Linked DNA regions of Notamacropus eugenii. The protein of the gene in region 2 purifies or fractionates together with the protein of the main gene of each other region. This does not show direct contact. Links are inferred from orthologs where the notes say so. Each region holds a gene or a part of one and is shown on either strand. Other genes may lie near its edges.

Region 1 (8,287 bases), about 310 Mb from region 2:
ATTTTTTGGTTAGTTTTAGTAAACTTTCTCTTACTCTCCATTTTTCATTTTTTTATTCTTCATTACAAAGGGGCTATATGGGTAGGAGAGAAGATAGGGATACAGCAAAATTAAAATGATGCAAAAACAAAAGTTACGAATATGTAGATGAGACTCCCAGGTTCATCTCCCAGGTTCATAACTGTTGAAAAGAGTTGCAGCAGATGGGAAGTGATGGGAATGCCTTTAATTGGAGAATGAAGTAGGGGTAGCTAACATCCACCTCACCTTTGGTTACAGGGGACTTTCTCAGATTAAATTGTGTCATTACTTTTCAAGCTGGCTTTGCCAGACTTGTATTCTTTCCACTAAATTGAGCTTGGAAAATTTGCTTGGAGTGTATTTTAATGTTAGAGGAGACATCACTGTACCGAAGTACCATTATTTGATCTTCTGGCTTATTTTCCCCCACTCTTTTCATATTATTTGTCTGCATTGGATTTAAAAATAAGGCAATGCAGAAATCTGACTCTATCAGTGAAGATTAGCTTATCAATATGGTATAAACCAAAGAGGGAAAATCAGTGGAACCAGTCCCCAAGCTAAGACACTACTTCTCACAACAATGTGTATTGGTATATTTCATTCTGAAACTGTAATTTGCTCTTCTACAGTAATTTGCTGTATATTTTTCAAGCTAAGTATTAAAACCAAGTAACAGAATTTTTTAAAGCTGAAAGATTGACCCCAGCAGATCAGAAAGACTGCCTTACTTAGGGCAGGAACTCATGACTCCTGTTTCCTTGCTTCTTTCTGAGGAAGGTTAACTCTGGAAAAAACCTCCTGAATGTTTTGGCCCTGTCCAATTCTTTTTCCTTCAAAAACATATTTATTTGGTAGCTTTTGTTTATACATCAGCTTTGTTTTTGTATGTGTTCCATCCTCCTACACTAACAACAAATTGTCTATCCCTTGTCCTAGTGGGAGAAAGAAAAACAGGTCAGTAAAACTAACAACGTATCAACCCAATCTGATAGTAGCATATTCAATGTTGCATATTTTGAAAGAGAGAGGGAGAGCGAGATGCATTTTCTTTTCTCCTGTCCAAACTTGGTTGTTAAAATTACATAGTATTAAGATTTACTTGAGCTAATTGTGTTCTTTCCATTTACATTGTTATATTGTCATATACACATATATGTACACATATATGTTCTGCCTACTTTACTCTGTATCAGTTTATTTAAGGTTTTTTTTTCAGGTTTCTTCGAACTCTTCATATTCATTTATTAAGGTGCAGTAATATTCAATTGCATTCACATACCACAGTTTGCTTAGCTATTTCCCTAAATAACGGCACTGTTCATTTCTTCTGCCCAACTAATCTAATCTCCAGATCACTTATCTGGGTTAACACTATTTAACCAGCAAGAAATCATTCAATATACTACAACAACTATTGTTAATTAAACAACATGAGTTAATTCTGAGAGTAACCTATGTCATTTAATGAACTTTTTGTTTTTCCAAGCTTCATTGAAGCATTCTACTTTTCAATTCATATTTTCAGGATGTACTAAAAAAAAATCTGTTCTGTTTAATTCATGCCCATATTCTACCTTGTTATTGAAGAATGATTCAGGATGTACTAAAAAAAAAATCTGTCCTGTTTAATTCATGCCCGTATTCTACCTTGTTATTGAAGAATCATTGCGTCACTTGACAATTGGGCAAAAGTCATTTAAGAGAACATGTGAGTCCAAAAAAGCAGGGACATATATTTTGGATTAACTGTTCAAATCTTAATCTAAATGTTTCCATAAATCTTTCCAACTGAAAAAATATCCAAATTGTAGTAGAATAATTCTTTCCAAATGAAAAGAAATCCAAATTGTAGTAGAATAATTCTTAAAAATGGAATCAATTATAAAAATTTTAAAATAATTACATTATGTAGGTACAATTTAGAGAAACAAAATATCAGTAGAGGAGAACAATCCAAATTTTATAATTTCAACTTGGATAGATCTTTTCTGTTGAGTTATTGTTGTTCTAATAGGACAGTTTATAGGAAAGGAGCTGATTTTTGGTATTATCAGCAACAGTGCACAAATTTTCATCCAGTTATTCTAAGTAAGGACAGAGAGGAATACCTATAAACTTCTCATCTCATAAGAGATTGTTGGCAAACCATTTCAGAGCAAAGAAAGGAAATCAGGTAGATTTAATAATGCAGACTAATTTAGGATCCTATATTTAGAACTTATAGGTGTTTTGGAAGTTCTTACTCCCTCATTTTATATATAAGGAAACTAAGGATCAAAGAAGTTAAGAGACTTGCACATAGTCACACAACTAGTGTCAAAGGCAGCATAGAGCTGAGCTCAGGTCTTCCTGACTCCAGGTTCAACTTTCTATCTCTCTCATTGAATCCCATGAATTGGGGTCTAGTCTTTGACTTAGACCACCAGCTTATGAAATTCTCATTAAGAATCCACATCAGTTTGACTTGAGTTCTATTTCTCTTTGTTCATAAAGATAACAGGTCAAAAATGTATCAAGTTATTTATAAGTGGACTAGATCCTTAAATATAGATCCATCTATTTGTAATGATGACAATCTTGTTTTCATGGTATTGCTACTGACTAGTTAGTCACAATATCTCCTTTGCCACAACTAATTTGAAATGCAACTTTGGAATCTATGAGATGGTGAATTCTCATAATAATTCTATCTAATGGAATGCAGAAAATCTGATTATTAACCAAACTGGATAAAGAAAAATCCAACTGTTAAAAAAGAAATAGTGAGGCACTTCTTATAATGAATCATTTCCATATTAAAGTCTTTTGAATCCTGGGACAGTTATCTTCCCACAGTTTTGCCTTTTGTTCCTAAAAATGAGTAAAACATTTCCTTAAAAAATGGCTAGATAAATGTAAAATAAACGACAATAATAATGTTTATGAATTTCTAAGGATCGATCATTGAAAGCTGTACTACAGTTTCATGCATATAATAGCTTTCCTTCTTAGTTACAGGGAAAACAAGTTTAATTATGACTTTCAATGAAGCAAGGGAAAAGGGATGGGCTATATTAGGATAAATATAGCAGATTGTATCTAATGGTAAAGGAGTTGAAATGTTTAGGACCTGAAGAGTTACACTGGATTTGATACAAAGACTGTATATAGTTAGTCATTATGGGAGTTGTACTTTGAAAGTTTAACTAGGACAGAGCTCCATGAAGAACTGAATAGTTAGGTGGTATTTAAACTAGTTTTAAAACAACAACAATGGAGAACCTTTTTAAATTTAAACAACTGGTTAATCTGAAGAGTGATCAATTGTTTAACCAGTTTGACTAAATGTAGCTGGGTTACCTTCAAACCAATTTGTGTTTGCAGACCATAAAATGTTCTTTTACTCACTCAAATGTGTTGTCTTTCATAGTGTTGTATGACTCCTTAAGAAGAGCACAATTAGAATGAGGATAAACTAATGTCTTAACAGAAAAGGCTTCATAAGTTCCACAAGATATTTATGAGTCTATTCAGTGAAAGTAAAGTCATTCGCATCTTTGGAGAAAGGTTACTTCTTTCAAAATATTTGTCTCATTTCTTTCTGGTGGGAGACTTCAAAAATGAAGATGAAAGTCTATAGCACTAGATGAGCTCACCTTGCTAAGAGAAAATGGGCCCAAGGAGTGTCGTGAGCACTATCTCCCACCTATCCTATCCAGGTAGCATGGTGCAAACATATTTGTGGGGAGCTGTCCAACCACAGAGCCCTGCTGGGGCAGCTGAGAAGCCCACAAAGGGAACTGCTCACACCAGGAGTGAGAGCATCCAACAAAATAACTCTGTATGACTCAGGTAATTATAAAGACTGATGCAGAGTCTTGAATAGTTAGTGCCATGAAAACACTAAAGCGACTCATGAAAATTATGTGCAACGCTCAACAGTCATTGGGCAAAAGGTTCTTCTGTGATTTTTAGAGAGGGAGTTGGTCTCAAGGAGGGTCTAATGGGTATGGATGAGAGCCAAAGCTAACTTGACCTTAACCCAACTGGCAACATTAGCACTACAAGCCTGTATTCAGTAAAATAACCTAATATTTTTTCTTGCTAAACGCTGTTTCATTAAATATCTTGCATTAATCTGGGCATTGTTTCATTAAAGGGTTCTGAGATTATATTATAGTAACTACAGCTCCCTCATAGAAACTTGAGCAGATAAGGATTTCACAGTCAGCTGAATTTCGAAAAGCTAACTAAATAAACACACCTTGGCTTTTTGGTTAGCTTCTGAAGGAAATGGCAAAAATCCAGGATGGGCAGAGGGGGGGAAAAGTTAAGACAGATGTGTTTATTTTGGAAACTTCAGGGTGTCCCCCACTTGCCTGTTATTTGTCACTATCCAAGAGAAGAAAAGTGTTGAATAAAAAGAAGTTACTCTCGTCACCTTTAGCTTTCCCATTACTTAGTCTAAGGAATTCTGTCTCCATTAAAAAAATTTGGCATCTATTAATCGTTGCGTATCTACCTACCTACCTGTCTATTTAATCTGTCGACATATTTCACAATCAATCGCCTGTGTTCTAGGAAAAGGCTGTATTTTTTATTTTTTTTAATATAGTAGCTATTGTCTTACTTTCTAGAGCTTCTGGTTAAAAGGGACACCCATCAACGACGATGCTGAGACTCATAGTTCAGAGGAACGAGTCTAACCGTACTTTTCTTTTGCTCCCACTTTTAGTGGCGGGACCCTTTTCAAGTTCCTCTGTTTCTTACCCGTTCGCTTTACCCTCGCCTCTCCGCCCCCCTCTCCTCCCACAGTTTGCTGTTCCAGGCTCCTCTTTGGCCGCTCCTCCCCTTTCGCCCGTCCCCTTTCTGATGCTAACCCCTCCTTGAAGTTTAGTCAGTGGCTTGAAAACTTTTAAAAAGCTCTCTGTGCTCCAAGTTACAAAAAGGCTTTTACGAGGTATCAGCACTTTTCTTTCATTAGAGGGAAGGAGGGAGGAAAGGACAAAACGGCAGCAGACTTTTAAACTTTAAATAGACAGGTCTGAGTGCCTGAACTGGCTTTTCCATTTTATTTCAGCCTCCAAAGAGTTCAATCATTTGCTCGGGCTCCATCACTCCTTTTAAGCAAAAGAGTAAGTTCTAAAGAAAAAACTTTACCTATTATCTTCTTTCTCTTTAAGTAAAACTTTTCTAAAGTTTGTAAGTGCTTGAAAATTTCGTATTTAAGTAAAGAACTGCAAATAATATGGTGAATGGAATGGACTTTGTTTTGTTTTGTTTTTTAAATTAAGACTTTCGAATATCCTAGCTTTCTTTTGAGAGTTTAAAAAGTTTTGTCAGTTAATGCTGCAACAGGTAAAATGTCCAGAACCCTCTGCTTGGAAGCTGGAAAGTCGAAACTGATTTTGGGGGGGTTTCTAGAATATACATATATGTATACATATACGTAATAACACAGTGCCGTTCTATAAAGTGTAATTTTACTTTGATTCTTAAAATAATTTAGGTGTGTTGCAGTTGGAGGGAAATGTGGGAGGGAGGGTGCGCACTGACAGCATCTTCAAAATTAGAGCTTTGCCTTGCCTGCTTTCTATCTGTTTTCTTCACGGTGTACTTTAATATGGAAATCTTGATTGCTTTATAATAGCCTGTACCGAGTTAACTTCTTAATTAGGCGCATTGTTAAGATATTGCTAACCCTGATCCGGTGACTTGCACGTGGTCTCTCCCTGAAATTATCTGCTTTTCTAAAAACCGGATGGAAAGACCCCAGACGGATACATGAAATGTGGAAATTAAAAGAAAAAAAAGTAACTGAATAAGTTTACTCTGTGTTTCCAACTCCTACTAGAACTCTCCTGTTGAGGGAAGGTTTGAAGAGAAAGCCTCCTGTGCTTCCCACCACGTTGGCAATTTGTGGGAACTGAGGTATTTTCAGTGGCTGGTGGGTGTTTTACTGATTATCTCAACAACTGGAAGGACCATCTCCTTGTGCCAATCAGTAATATCCATAAGTTGTCTCCAGAGCTAGGGAAAAGAATAGGAAAAGTGTGATTCTTAACCAGCATCTTACAAAGATGCCTTTTCTTAAACCTGAAGCAGATTCCAGGACTCTAGAGGGGTTTCCCCTTTGTTACTGTTGCCTGAGTTCTTGCCAGTAATCAAAGATTCAGCCAATGTTGTCAAAGGGGGTTCAGTTAGAAATATTTTCTTTTATTGAGATAACACATGTTCTGCTATTCAGAAATGCAAAAATGCACGTCTGTGCTCTGTGGATTTTCCCCTGATTTGCTTTAATCCCCAATCTAAAGCAATTACTTTAACTCCTTAAAGTAGGTTCTGCTATATGTAGTAAAAAGGTTGAAAAAAAAAGCATTTTCTCTAGGCAGCTTCCATGTTTGAAAAGGGAACATTAAACACAGAGTTGGAGAGAGAATGAAAAAGAAAACTCTTTGTGAGTAGTGACTTGTGTCTCAGACTCGTGTGTGGTGGAGATCAGATCAGAGGTAACATGAGCTCTGCCATCTTAACATCTGGACTGCTTAACATACTACAGAACTCCTGATGATCTGGATTTTGAAATGTTTACCAAGTTGTTGCCCTCCGAGTCTTCCAGAGTTAAAGTGCGCCTGCTGACCCAGGTCTACTCATAAAAAATGGGTGGTGGTTGGTATGCAAAGAACAAAGATTGAAATACTGGTAGAGAAGAATAGATTTGATCTTGTCACTCTCTGTCCTGATAGGCATAAGTAGAGCCCTTTATTCTCTCAAACATGCAGGACACAGAGATACCCTTATAGCTTTCAAAGTCAGACCATATTAGGTAGTGTGATAAAACATGCCTAATAACTTTTATCTTGAAGCAACTTTAAAACATTTTTAGGGCTTCTATGAACATCTCTGAGACTGAGTTGAGTGGGAGACATTGCCTTAATTTTTAAGTGAAGAAACTGAGGTATTACTGAGAGAAGGAGAAAATGTACTCTACCCAAGTCCAACCCTATCCTGGGATGATTAGATTGTACTACCTCCTTAGCTGTGGTTATTTAATTGAATATTGACTGATTTCATATTTGCCCAGCCCTGCGCTAGGTGAATTTTACAACCTTATCTTGCTTCAATTGTCTCTCTACCACCACATCTGTTGTATCTATATACACAGATATGTATTTTTCTTTGTTTCAACCCCAGGTTTTGGGGAAGTGAGGGTACAGAGTGATAGTAGGAGGCATTTATCTGTACCTTAGAAATTTTAGTATCAAACACAAGCTTCTGGTTTGGGAATGGATTGCATTTATTTTGAACCAAGTCTTTAATGATAGAAAAGATAAATATTGCATTATAAAACATATGAGTTGAGCTAATTTGTTATTTCCTTAATGCTTGAGATTGTTGAGGCAAAACTCCTATGTAATTGAGTATTCCCACTATCCTCCAAAACCACCTTTCATTTAACCACTCCCTGAAAAAGACAATAAAGACCACAGGATGAATTGAGCTAGAATGTATTAAAAATCATAGACTTAGACCTAGGAGGGATCTTAGAGTTTACTTAGTCCAAACTGTTTCATTTTGTAGGTGAAAAAACTGGGAGGGAGGCAAAGATGAAGTGACATGCCCTAAGTCACAGGGAGTGTGAATGACTGAACAAGGATTTGAACTGGGGCCTTCCAAGACTTTTTTTCAGATAGGACACACTTAGAAGCTAAGAAGAAATTACTAAGTTTAGCCTGAAGGGAGGATTATTTTCTTTAATCAATCAACTTTTTAAGCTTGTCATGGCGCATATTAGGCACTGTGCTAGGTGCTGGGAATACAAAAACAAAAGAGAGAGAGAGAGAGAGAGAGAGAGAGAGAGAGAGGGAGGGAGGGAGGGAGGGAGGGAGGGAGGGAGAGAGAGAGAGAGAGAGAGATTATAAACACGCATACATATAGAAATACAGAGATAGAGAGTAAGAGTCAGAGAAAGTGATAAAGACAGAGAGACAGAAGGAGACATTGAGAAAGAGAGAAGAACAAGAGACAGACAAATGCAGAAAGATTGTATAAATTCTTAAGGGGAATATCTAAAACATTGTACTAAGTACAGTGTACACACACATCTACATATACATGTCTTATGAAATAGCAATGCACTGATTATTGAAGTCTGGTATGCTGCCAAATGAGGAGCAGTTTTACTTTCTAATTGTGAACATAACTGCCTTTTGCTTTTTTGCAGGGGGGCAGAGAATGGGGAACAAAATGTAATGAAAGTGCTTTTCTTATATTTTCAATACTT
Region 2 (8,467 bases):
TCTGGAGGAGAAAGTGAACTGGTGACTCTGCACAGCCCTCCCTCACTTACATCCAATTCACTAGCCAGTCATAGCATCACCTCCCTGATGTCATGGTCCTCTCCGAGAATGAAGGACAAGCAACAACAACCCCCCCAGGGCTGACTCTGGATCCCTGGAGACAGAGGGCTCTTCCCCACCCCCACCCCTATGGGTGGCAGGTAGTGGCTGTTCCACACTGGGCCTTGGCACATTTCTACAGGCTTACATGTTAATCATGTTAATCATGGCTCAGAAATGACCAGAAGGAAACAAATCATCTAGGATGGCAGTGGACTCCCCAAACCACTTGATGGGTTTGACAATGCAGACATTATTACTATTCCCATTTTCCAGATGAAGAGACTAAAGTTTAGAGAAGACAAATGTCTTGTCAGTATAGGAACCCATGGCTGATAAGGGCTAGACTTGGAATTTCCCGACTTCAGGGCTCTTCCAAGATGTCTAGATTGGCAAGATCTTGGGTCAGAACCAAATCACTGAATGGCAGAGCTGACAGGGAGAGGCTCTCTAGCCTTAACCCCTTCATTACACCACCAAGGTGTCTGAAACTAGCTCAGCTCCAGACAGACTGAGGACGAGAATGCTGGGACCCCAGAGCTGTCTAGGGCTCCAGCTCCACCCTACCATGCTGTCTAGTCATCCATCAGTCTCTCCTGTTTCCCCTCCTGGGGCTAGAACAGAAGCAAGGCAGACTGCCAGAGGAAGAACCCTCAAACTGAATCCTTCTTCGTAAAGAAATGTCTACCAAGGCAGAAAGTTAGAAGCCAGAAGACCCTCTTCAAAAACCTCTTATCTGACGGAGACCTTGTAAAGTAGAGATTGCAGAAATATGTCATGCTTATTATATTCAATGCCACTCTGCAGGACACAGAGAGAGAAAAGATGATGAGGACAACTTCATCCCTACCCTTGAGTTTAAATCAAATTATCTACTGTTCCTGTAGCTCACGGAGCAAAAACCTTTCAACTACCCAGGCATTGTACAGTCACACGATGCTAGAGACAGACCATCCAGGGGCATCTCCATAGTCTATGAACACGAGTTTTGTCTGCTGACTCCTCTCTGGATATCTCAGAATCCAAACAACCTAAAATTAGCTCCTGCTCCAGCTGGAAGATGCAACGAAGTACCTGCTCTCCAAAGTGAAATCAAGCACAACCCAGACCAGTCCAAAAGGCAGCCCTGGGAAGTGATGAAAAGCCCCAAATTTGGAGCGGGTTCAAATCCTGACTGCTACCTCCTAGCCAAGAGTCCATGAACAAATCATCTAACCTCCATAGGCCTCAAAGATGCACTAGAGAACATCCATTAGGTCCCTCCCTGCTCTCCAATCCTACATCCTGAGTTTAATGGCCTCCTCATCTTATAGATGAGGGGAAAAAAATGCCTTACAACCCATGAGGTATTTATGCTAGTCATCCAAAGCATTGGTGTTTCTTAGGGTGAATGTTCCCTCCCTCCACAGTCCCTTCAAGATTTAGTAGATGGCATAAAAAGCTGCTGGAGCCAGTCTTCTAGTGATGAGAGCACCTCCTCCTCTTTAAGTAGACTGAGGGAGGCCTTCCTGCCTTAGTAGGTGGGACCTGCCTGGGTCTTTAGGTACAGAGCGAAGGGGACCTGCTGGGGAGCACCTGCTTCCCAAGTCTATGTCCTTGACAACTTTACTATAGCATATGACTGCCTACAAAACTGCAGAAGATTGAGTGAGTGCGACCGTGTTCATAATGCAGAAGTGGCCAACAAACATGAAAATCATTACCATCTCATCCTGAGCACAACTTTTCAAAATGACCACTGGAAAATAAAACCTTTACCCTGCCAGTAGTATTCTTATTAAATGAACATTTAAAGCACCAAATGCATTTTTAAAAGAAAGAGCTCACGGCTACAGTGGTCCTTCAACTTCAAGAGACATTTATAAACTCAGCCCCTACAATCTGAAAGGCCCCAACAATCCTTCAGGAACTATCCAAACACATCCAACCTGTGACCCTGGTCAAGAGATCGCTGCGGTTCTGCCCCAGTCCAGGGCTCCTTGCAAAAGCCTTTCTTCAGTCTCCTATCAGTTCTGAGAGGGAGACTTGACTGGCTCAGGACAAGGGCATTCCTATCTCCTGACAGGTAGTTACAAATAACACCCCTCACCCACCCGCCCGGCAACTGGGTCTATATATCTCAGGTCCAGCCCTTAGCAGGAACCAACAAGTCCCACAAAAAGTGTGGTCACTTTATCTCCAGCCGAAGGTTGGATGACTCCGGAAAGGGCCAGATCAGAAGTTGAGAAAGACATGACCTGAAGGGAACATCCCTGCCTGCCTTTATGGAAGGATGGGGAGGAATTCCGAGTGGGGGCTCAGGGAGGGCGAGGGCAGCGGCGGGCAGGCTAGCACCTGGCACTTCGGGCTTTCTCTGGGCTGGACACTGAAAGGACGAGACCTGGGGGGTATGGAGCTGATTCTGGGGGCAAGGGAATGGAGGCTGGGTGGGAAGGGCTCAGCCCTGGCACAAGGAAAGCTCTAAAAGCCTCTCCCACTTTCCAGAGGAGTGAACCTGAGGTGGCTCTGACTGCTGGGAGATGGGGGCTCGCAAGTGGGGGAAGGGAGCTGCTGGGGGGCTGGGCTGCGGGGGCAGCCTAGGGGCTCAGTTTCCTCATCTGTCAACTAAGGGGGAGGACGAGACGCGCCCATTAGCTCTGCACGAACCCCATCAAGCGGCATTTATGAAGCGCCTACGGTGTACCTGAGCCTAGCGGGGTGACTCAGGCCCCGCGTTACGCCCAGAAACAGTCTCCAGGACTCCGTACCGTGGGGGGAGTCGCCGGGACGGCCCCCTGCCAGCGCCATGACCTCCCTCTATGACCTTAGGATGAAGGGAGAGCAGCACAGGGGCACCAGGAGGGGCCGCACGCGGGTGCCGCCCCCTGCCTCAGTTTCCCCTCTGCCACGGGATGGGTTTGCTGGCCGCCCAGCGCCCTCGCACCCGAAGTGGGCATCCCTCCCGTCCCGGCCGCGAGCCCCGGCAGCGGCCCGGGACGGTTGGACGCGGCCGAGGGCGCTCGGCTCGGCTCGGGAGCCGGCGGTTGGGCCGAGGGGGTGAAGCGGGCGGCGGGGGCGCGCGCGCGGGCACAGGGCGGGGGCGCGCGGAGAGGGCGGGGGCGGGGGCGCGCCCGGGCAGCCCGCCTCGTTACCTGGGTCAGGGAGAGCTGGGCCGCCGAAGCCATGGTGTTTCCATCATGCACGGCGAGCGGCCGCGGCGAGGACGGAGGCGGGCGCCGACACGCTCGAGACGGCGGAGGGGAAAGAGAAGGAAGCGCAGAAGAAGGCGGCGGCCAGGCCCGGGCGGCTCACCCAACTTCAGCAACTTCCCTCCTGGAGCCACGCCCCGCCCGGCCCGGCCCCGCCCCCGCCCTCACACCCTGCCTCTCCCGCCCTCGCTCCGAAGCGCGCGCGCGTGCACACCCACGCACTCCGCTTCCCCCGCCCCTCCGCCCCGGGCCGCCCCGAAAACCCGGTGCGGATCACCCTCTGTGCCGGCTCCCGCAGACTCCGCCCGGACCGGAGCCGGACTCCGCCCGGACCGGACTACCGCTCGTCCCCTCCCCTTCACTCCCGGCCCGAAGGCTGGCGGAACGGAAAACCCGGTCAGGATGACCTCCCTGGAGCGCTCCTCGAGGTCCCCTTCCAGCCCATCCAACAGCCCCAGGGCCGCCGCTGGCGAGACTCGGGATACTCCAAGTGGGCCGTCCCCCGGGCAGAACTCATGATCTCCCCCGGCCCCCCACTTCCTGAACTACCCCCTGACCTTATCAGGGCAGCCACCTGGGCTCCAAACCTCCTGGCTCCCAGCCAGCCAAACCACGTGGTGGCTCCGCCCCGCCCCTCCGCTCTCACCTGGACGTCACCTGGGCCTCGCGGCCATCTGCCCGCTCCAGTCCGGCTGCCGCACACGAGGCTGCCCAGGCGACGTCCTCGAGGGCGGCTCTCCGGGCGGCCCTGCCCTCCTGCGAGCTCCGCGGGCTCCCTAACCCCCTAGAGCCAGGGACGAGTCCTGTTTGAGGCTGGCACCCTCCCGCGCCCGGCCTTCCCGGGCAAAGCCCCGCCCGACGGCTCCCCTGCCCTCGCACCCCGGCCTGGTGAAGACCCCTCGTGTCACCCCCAGTTCGGGTCAAATGCCCCCCGGCTCCAAGCCCTCCTGGAGCCGGCCCCTGCCCGCCAGCAGCTGCCGGAGCCTTCCCCGCACGTGTGCGGGCTGTCTTCGGGGCAGAAGGCCGGTTCCTCGAGGGCAGGGGCTGTTTCTTCCCTTTTCTCTTCCATTTTTTTAATCTTTGCTCGAGGAGGTTTCTAAGTCACCTTAAGAAATGCGATTTACGGATATTATTTTAAATTGGGCGCACAACCTTTGGCCGAGCAGAGACCCTGCCCGCAGCAGGTGCTTGCTGCATGGCATGGCCTTCCTGGCCATCCGAGCCCATTGCATCATTCAAACTCGGAGCTTCTCACCCCAGAGGCAGCACGGACGGCCGACCCTGAGCCCCTTGCCTGCGCCCTCTGGGTCTTCATCTATAAAATGAAGAAGATGCCTGCCAAGACTCAGAGCCCTGGGCTTGAAGTCAGAAAAGACAAGTAGTAAAACCCCTACATCTTTTTTGAGACAGCTTCCTCATCAGTAAAATGGGCATAATCAATGGCCCTTGTGCTGCAAGGTCATTGGGAGAGAAGCTCTTTGTCAGCCTTAAAGAGCTGTAGAAAGTTGAGTTGTTGCTCTAACTGGAGTCAGTTTAGGGTTAGCGTCAGGAAAAGTTCTAATGTTAAATGATCCGACAATGAGGACTTTCCCAGAATGGGACAGGTGGCCTCAGGAGGCCATGGGTCCCCCCTCCTCGGAGAACTAAGCAGAGCTGACCACTCCCTCATCAGCTGTGTTACACCTGGAATTCCTTTGGTTCATATAGATGCTCTGACACTTAGGAGTTCTGTCTGTGACTGTAGGTTGTTGTGAGGATCACACAAGATAATATTTGTAAAGTACTTAGCCCTGTACCTAGCATATAGTAAGAAAGCACTGTATAAATATTAGTATTTTTATTACCAGTCTCTTAGCCTTAGTTTTGTCATCTGTGAGATGAAGACAGAAAGATCTGGGTTGTATTAGATTTAAAGCTGAAACAGACTTAACCAACAAGCACTGATTAAGCTCCTACTGTGTGCCAGGTATTGGGCATATAATAACAATAAATGAAACAATTCCCATCACTAGGTGATTGTATTCTAACAGGGGAGACACTGAGCCTCAGGAAAATTAAGTGACTCTTGTAAGGTCACATACAGTAAATAATAAGTCCCCAAACCTAGAGTCCAAACCCAGGTCTTCCAAATCTATCTCCATCCCTGTTTCCAAGGTACACACTGCTTCATAAGGTTTTTGTGAATGCCATGTAATCCTTAAAGTGCTGTATAAATGGGAATGGCCCTGATGATTAACCAGTGAAGGGGGCAGAGCCACAAAGTGATCTGCCTACCCTCCTGCCCCCAACTGGTTTGGGATGAGGAACTGAGCATACACACACACACACACACACATATACATGCATCCACACATGAACACTCATCTCTCAGTGAGTGGAGGAGGCTAAGGGAACTCAGATACAGGATTTTCTTTGTATGTCATTCTCAGTTTTCTTTTGTTTTCTAAGGGCTGTAGGCTGCTATCAGCTCAGTCACCAGGGAACACTCCAGTTTTGTGATGTCAGCATCAGCAAACTGAGGAACACTGTATTATGGCTTGAGTCTGAAGGAAGGCTGGTGCCTATAGGGCTTCACTTGGAAGACACTGCTATCTCAGGGCACACAAAGCTCCTGTTTTACTTACAGAAAGGGGTGGGTTAAAGGCCCATCCGAACGGAGCTACGATGCCCCTCCCCCTCTGCCCAACAACAACTGTACTTTCACTTCCATCATGGTGATGTAGAGCACTGGGGAGGATGGTCCCAGTGGTCAGTTTAGTAAATATAGTTTGCCTTGTTCTGGGAAAAGCAATGGGGGATTGGGGTTGAGGGGAGCAAAATAACAATTGTGTTACAGAACAGTAGGGACCCCTTGCTGGGGCCCCACCCTGGGAGAGAGAAACCTGGAGAAAAGATCAGCAGCAGGGTAGAGGCAGAGGAACTGGGTGCCTAGGTCTGCCACTCACTGTGGAGCCTTTCAGGCAGCTCACTTTACCTTCTGGCCTCAGGTGACTCATCTGTAAAATTAGGAGGGTCAATCCTATGGGCTGTTATTAGGCAGAATTTTGGAGTCCAAAAACCTGACTTCACAAGCTCTTCCCATCTTCCAGGTAGTCATGGTGCCAGGGGGAGGGGCGGGGAGACTTGAGGCAAGAGAGAGCTGAGTTCATATCCTACCTTGGACATTTCCAGTTTGATTGATTGTAGGGGAGGACACTCTCTGGGCCTCATTTCCTCATCTCTACAATGCAGGTAATACCTGCTGGACCTGAACACCTATGAAGGAGTCATGGGTGTCAGGGCTTCTTTCCACTAACATTCCCAGAAGGGCAGAAGGAATCTACAGCCTCCACAGGGGACACTCCCTTTCCTGATTCAGTGGGCTCAGCCGAGAAGTATTAGGGACTTGCCTGAAACACAGGCCAAGGGACTGCCCCAGGGTCATAGAGCTAGTGAGTGTCAGAAGGCCGGATTCAGACCTTGCTCTGTTCTGCTTCTATACCCAGTGTCCTTTTCAGTAATAACTGTAGCAGTCTGCTGGATCATCTGGCTGTTCTATCCACCATGCCACAAGTAACCTCTTTGGGATTTGGATCCAGGTCTCTTGATTCCAGATACTGACAGATCATAGCTCAGAGGAAGATAATAGGATTTAAAGGTCACCTATTCTAACTCCTCCTCATCTTACAGATGTGGACACTGAGGCCTAAAGAGGTTACATGCCTTGCCTGAGGTCACATGTGGCATATCTGGCATTCAGATCCAGGGACCTAAAGTCAGGACCAGATTTGAAACTACCTCTTCCTGACTCCAGCCCAGGATACACCAAGCTGGCCCTATTCCACTAAAAATATGAACTAACACTTCCATGGTGCTCTACCATTTTGAAAGTATATTCACAATGACTCCATTACTATTATTTCCCCCATTCTACAGATGAGGCCCATGCAGCCACATGGCCAAGGAGACAGATCTCCAGGCCTGGAGTCAGGAAGACTCATCTTCGGGAGTTCAGATCCAACCTCAGACATTTAATACCTGTGTGACCCTGGGCAAGTGCCTTAACCCTGTTTGTCTCAGTTTCCTCTGGAAGGATATGGAGAAGGAAATGGCCAACCACTCCAATAATTTTGCCAAGAAAACCCCCAATGGGGTCACGAAGAGTTGCACAGGACTGAAAATGACTAAACAACAACAGATGCATCTAGAAACTGCTGTCCCAAAAAACAAAATTACTTGTCCTGGATCATGTAAAAACATGGACAAGCACCTATTAGGTGCCTGCTCTGTGCCAGGTACTTAGAGGAGGTCAACGGAAATACAAAGACAAAAGTGGAACAGTCCCTCTGCTCAAGGAACTTTAACTTTCTTTAGGGAGACTGTCGATATAAGAGAGATACAGAATGATGGGAGGGGGCCTTTACATCCCGGGGGGTGGGGGGCGGGAATCATGGCAGGCCTGTTGGTAGAAGTGCCATTGGAGCTGAGCTCTGAGGCAAGCTTGGGTTTCCAAGAGGCAGAGACCAGGGGGCAGCATTCCAGTTAGGGGATAGGCATCCTTAGTACACAGGTGAAGGGCAGGAATTCTGTGTAGGGGGACCACTAGGACAGTTTAGCTGAAATCTGGACTCTAAAGGAATTAAGCCAGAAAGAAAAGGCTAGTGCCACATTATGAATTCCAGGGGAGTTTGTTTTTTATCCTGGATGTAATAGCTCCCAGCATTCCTTGGACAGGGGAGTGACATGGCTAGACTACTTTAGAAAGATCATTTGCAGGGGAATAGCCTAGAAGGGGAGAGCCATTAGGACTCATTAGGAGACTCTCATAATAGTACAGGTGATGAGGCATGAGCTGTGTGAATGAAGAGAAGACAGGTGTGAGGTATTCTGGGGAGGTAAAGTTAACAAGGTTTGGGAATTGCATGACTGGGGAGAGGGGGAAAGGAGCATGCCAAGTCAAGGGTGACTCAGGTGGGGAGCCTGGGTGCCCTGGAGGATGGCAGTGCCCTCTCCAGAAAGAGGGAAGTTCAGAAAAGGGATGGCTTTGAAGAAGAGAAGACAAGTTCTGTTTGGGATAATGAGGAGATGGAGGCCCTAAGGGGCAGGATGGTGGAGAGATCCAGCAGACAGCTGGTGCTTCAGACCTGGAGTCAAAACCTGGAGAAAAATGAAGGCTCTCTCCAATACAGGTTAGGAGCCAT

The links.
Region 1: the proteins of EPS15 (region 2) and GJA1 purify together in Homo sapiens (affinity purification with western blotting; 3 studies listed by BioGRID). This does not show direct contact. The link is inferred for Notamacropus eugenii from reciprocal best matches to the Homo sapiens genes EPS15 and GJA1.

What each region holds. Positions count from the first base shown.
Region 1 is NC_092873.1:203,953,834-203,962,120, forward strand, and holds the start of GJA1 (gap junction alpha-1 protein), read left to right. Parts: upstream 1-4,819; 5' UTR 4,820-4,963; exon of another isoform or gene 4,964-5,138; intron 5,139-5,839; exon of another isoform or gene 5,840-6,033; intron 6,034-8,287. UniProt on the Homo sapiens protein: Gap junction protein that acts as a regulator of bladder capacity. A gap junction consists of a cluster of closely packed pairs of transmembrane channels, the connexons, through which materials of low MW diffuse from one cell to a neighboring cell.
Region 2 is NC_092873.1:511,774,147-511,782,613, forward strand, and holds the start of EPS15 (epidermal growth factor receptor substrate 15), read right to left. Parts: upstream 3,360-8,467; 5' UTR 3,264-3,359; coding exon 3,231-3,263; intron 1-3,230. UniProt on the Homo sapiens protein: Involved in cell growth regulation. May be involved in the regulation of mitogenic signals and control of cell proliferation. Involved in the internalization of ligand-inducible receptors of the receptor tyrosine kinase (RTK) type, in particular EGFR.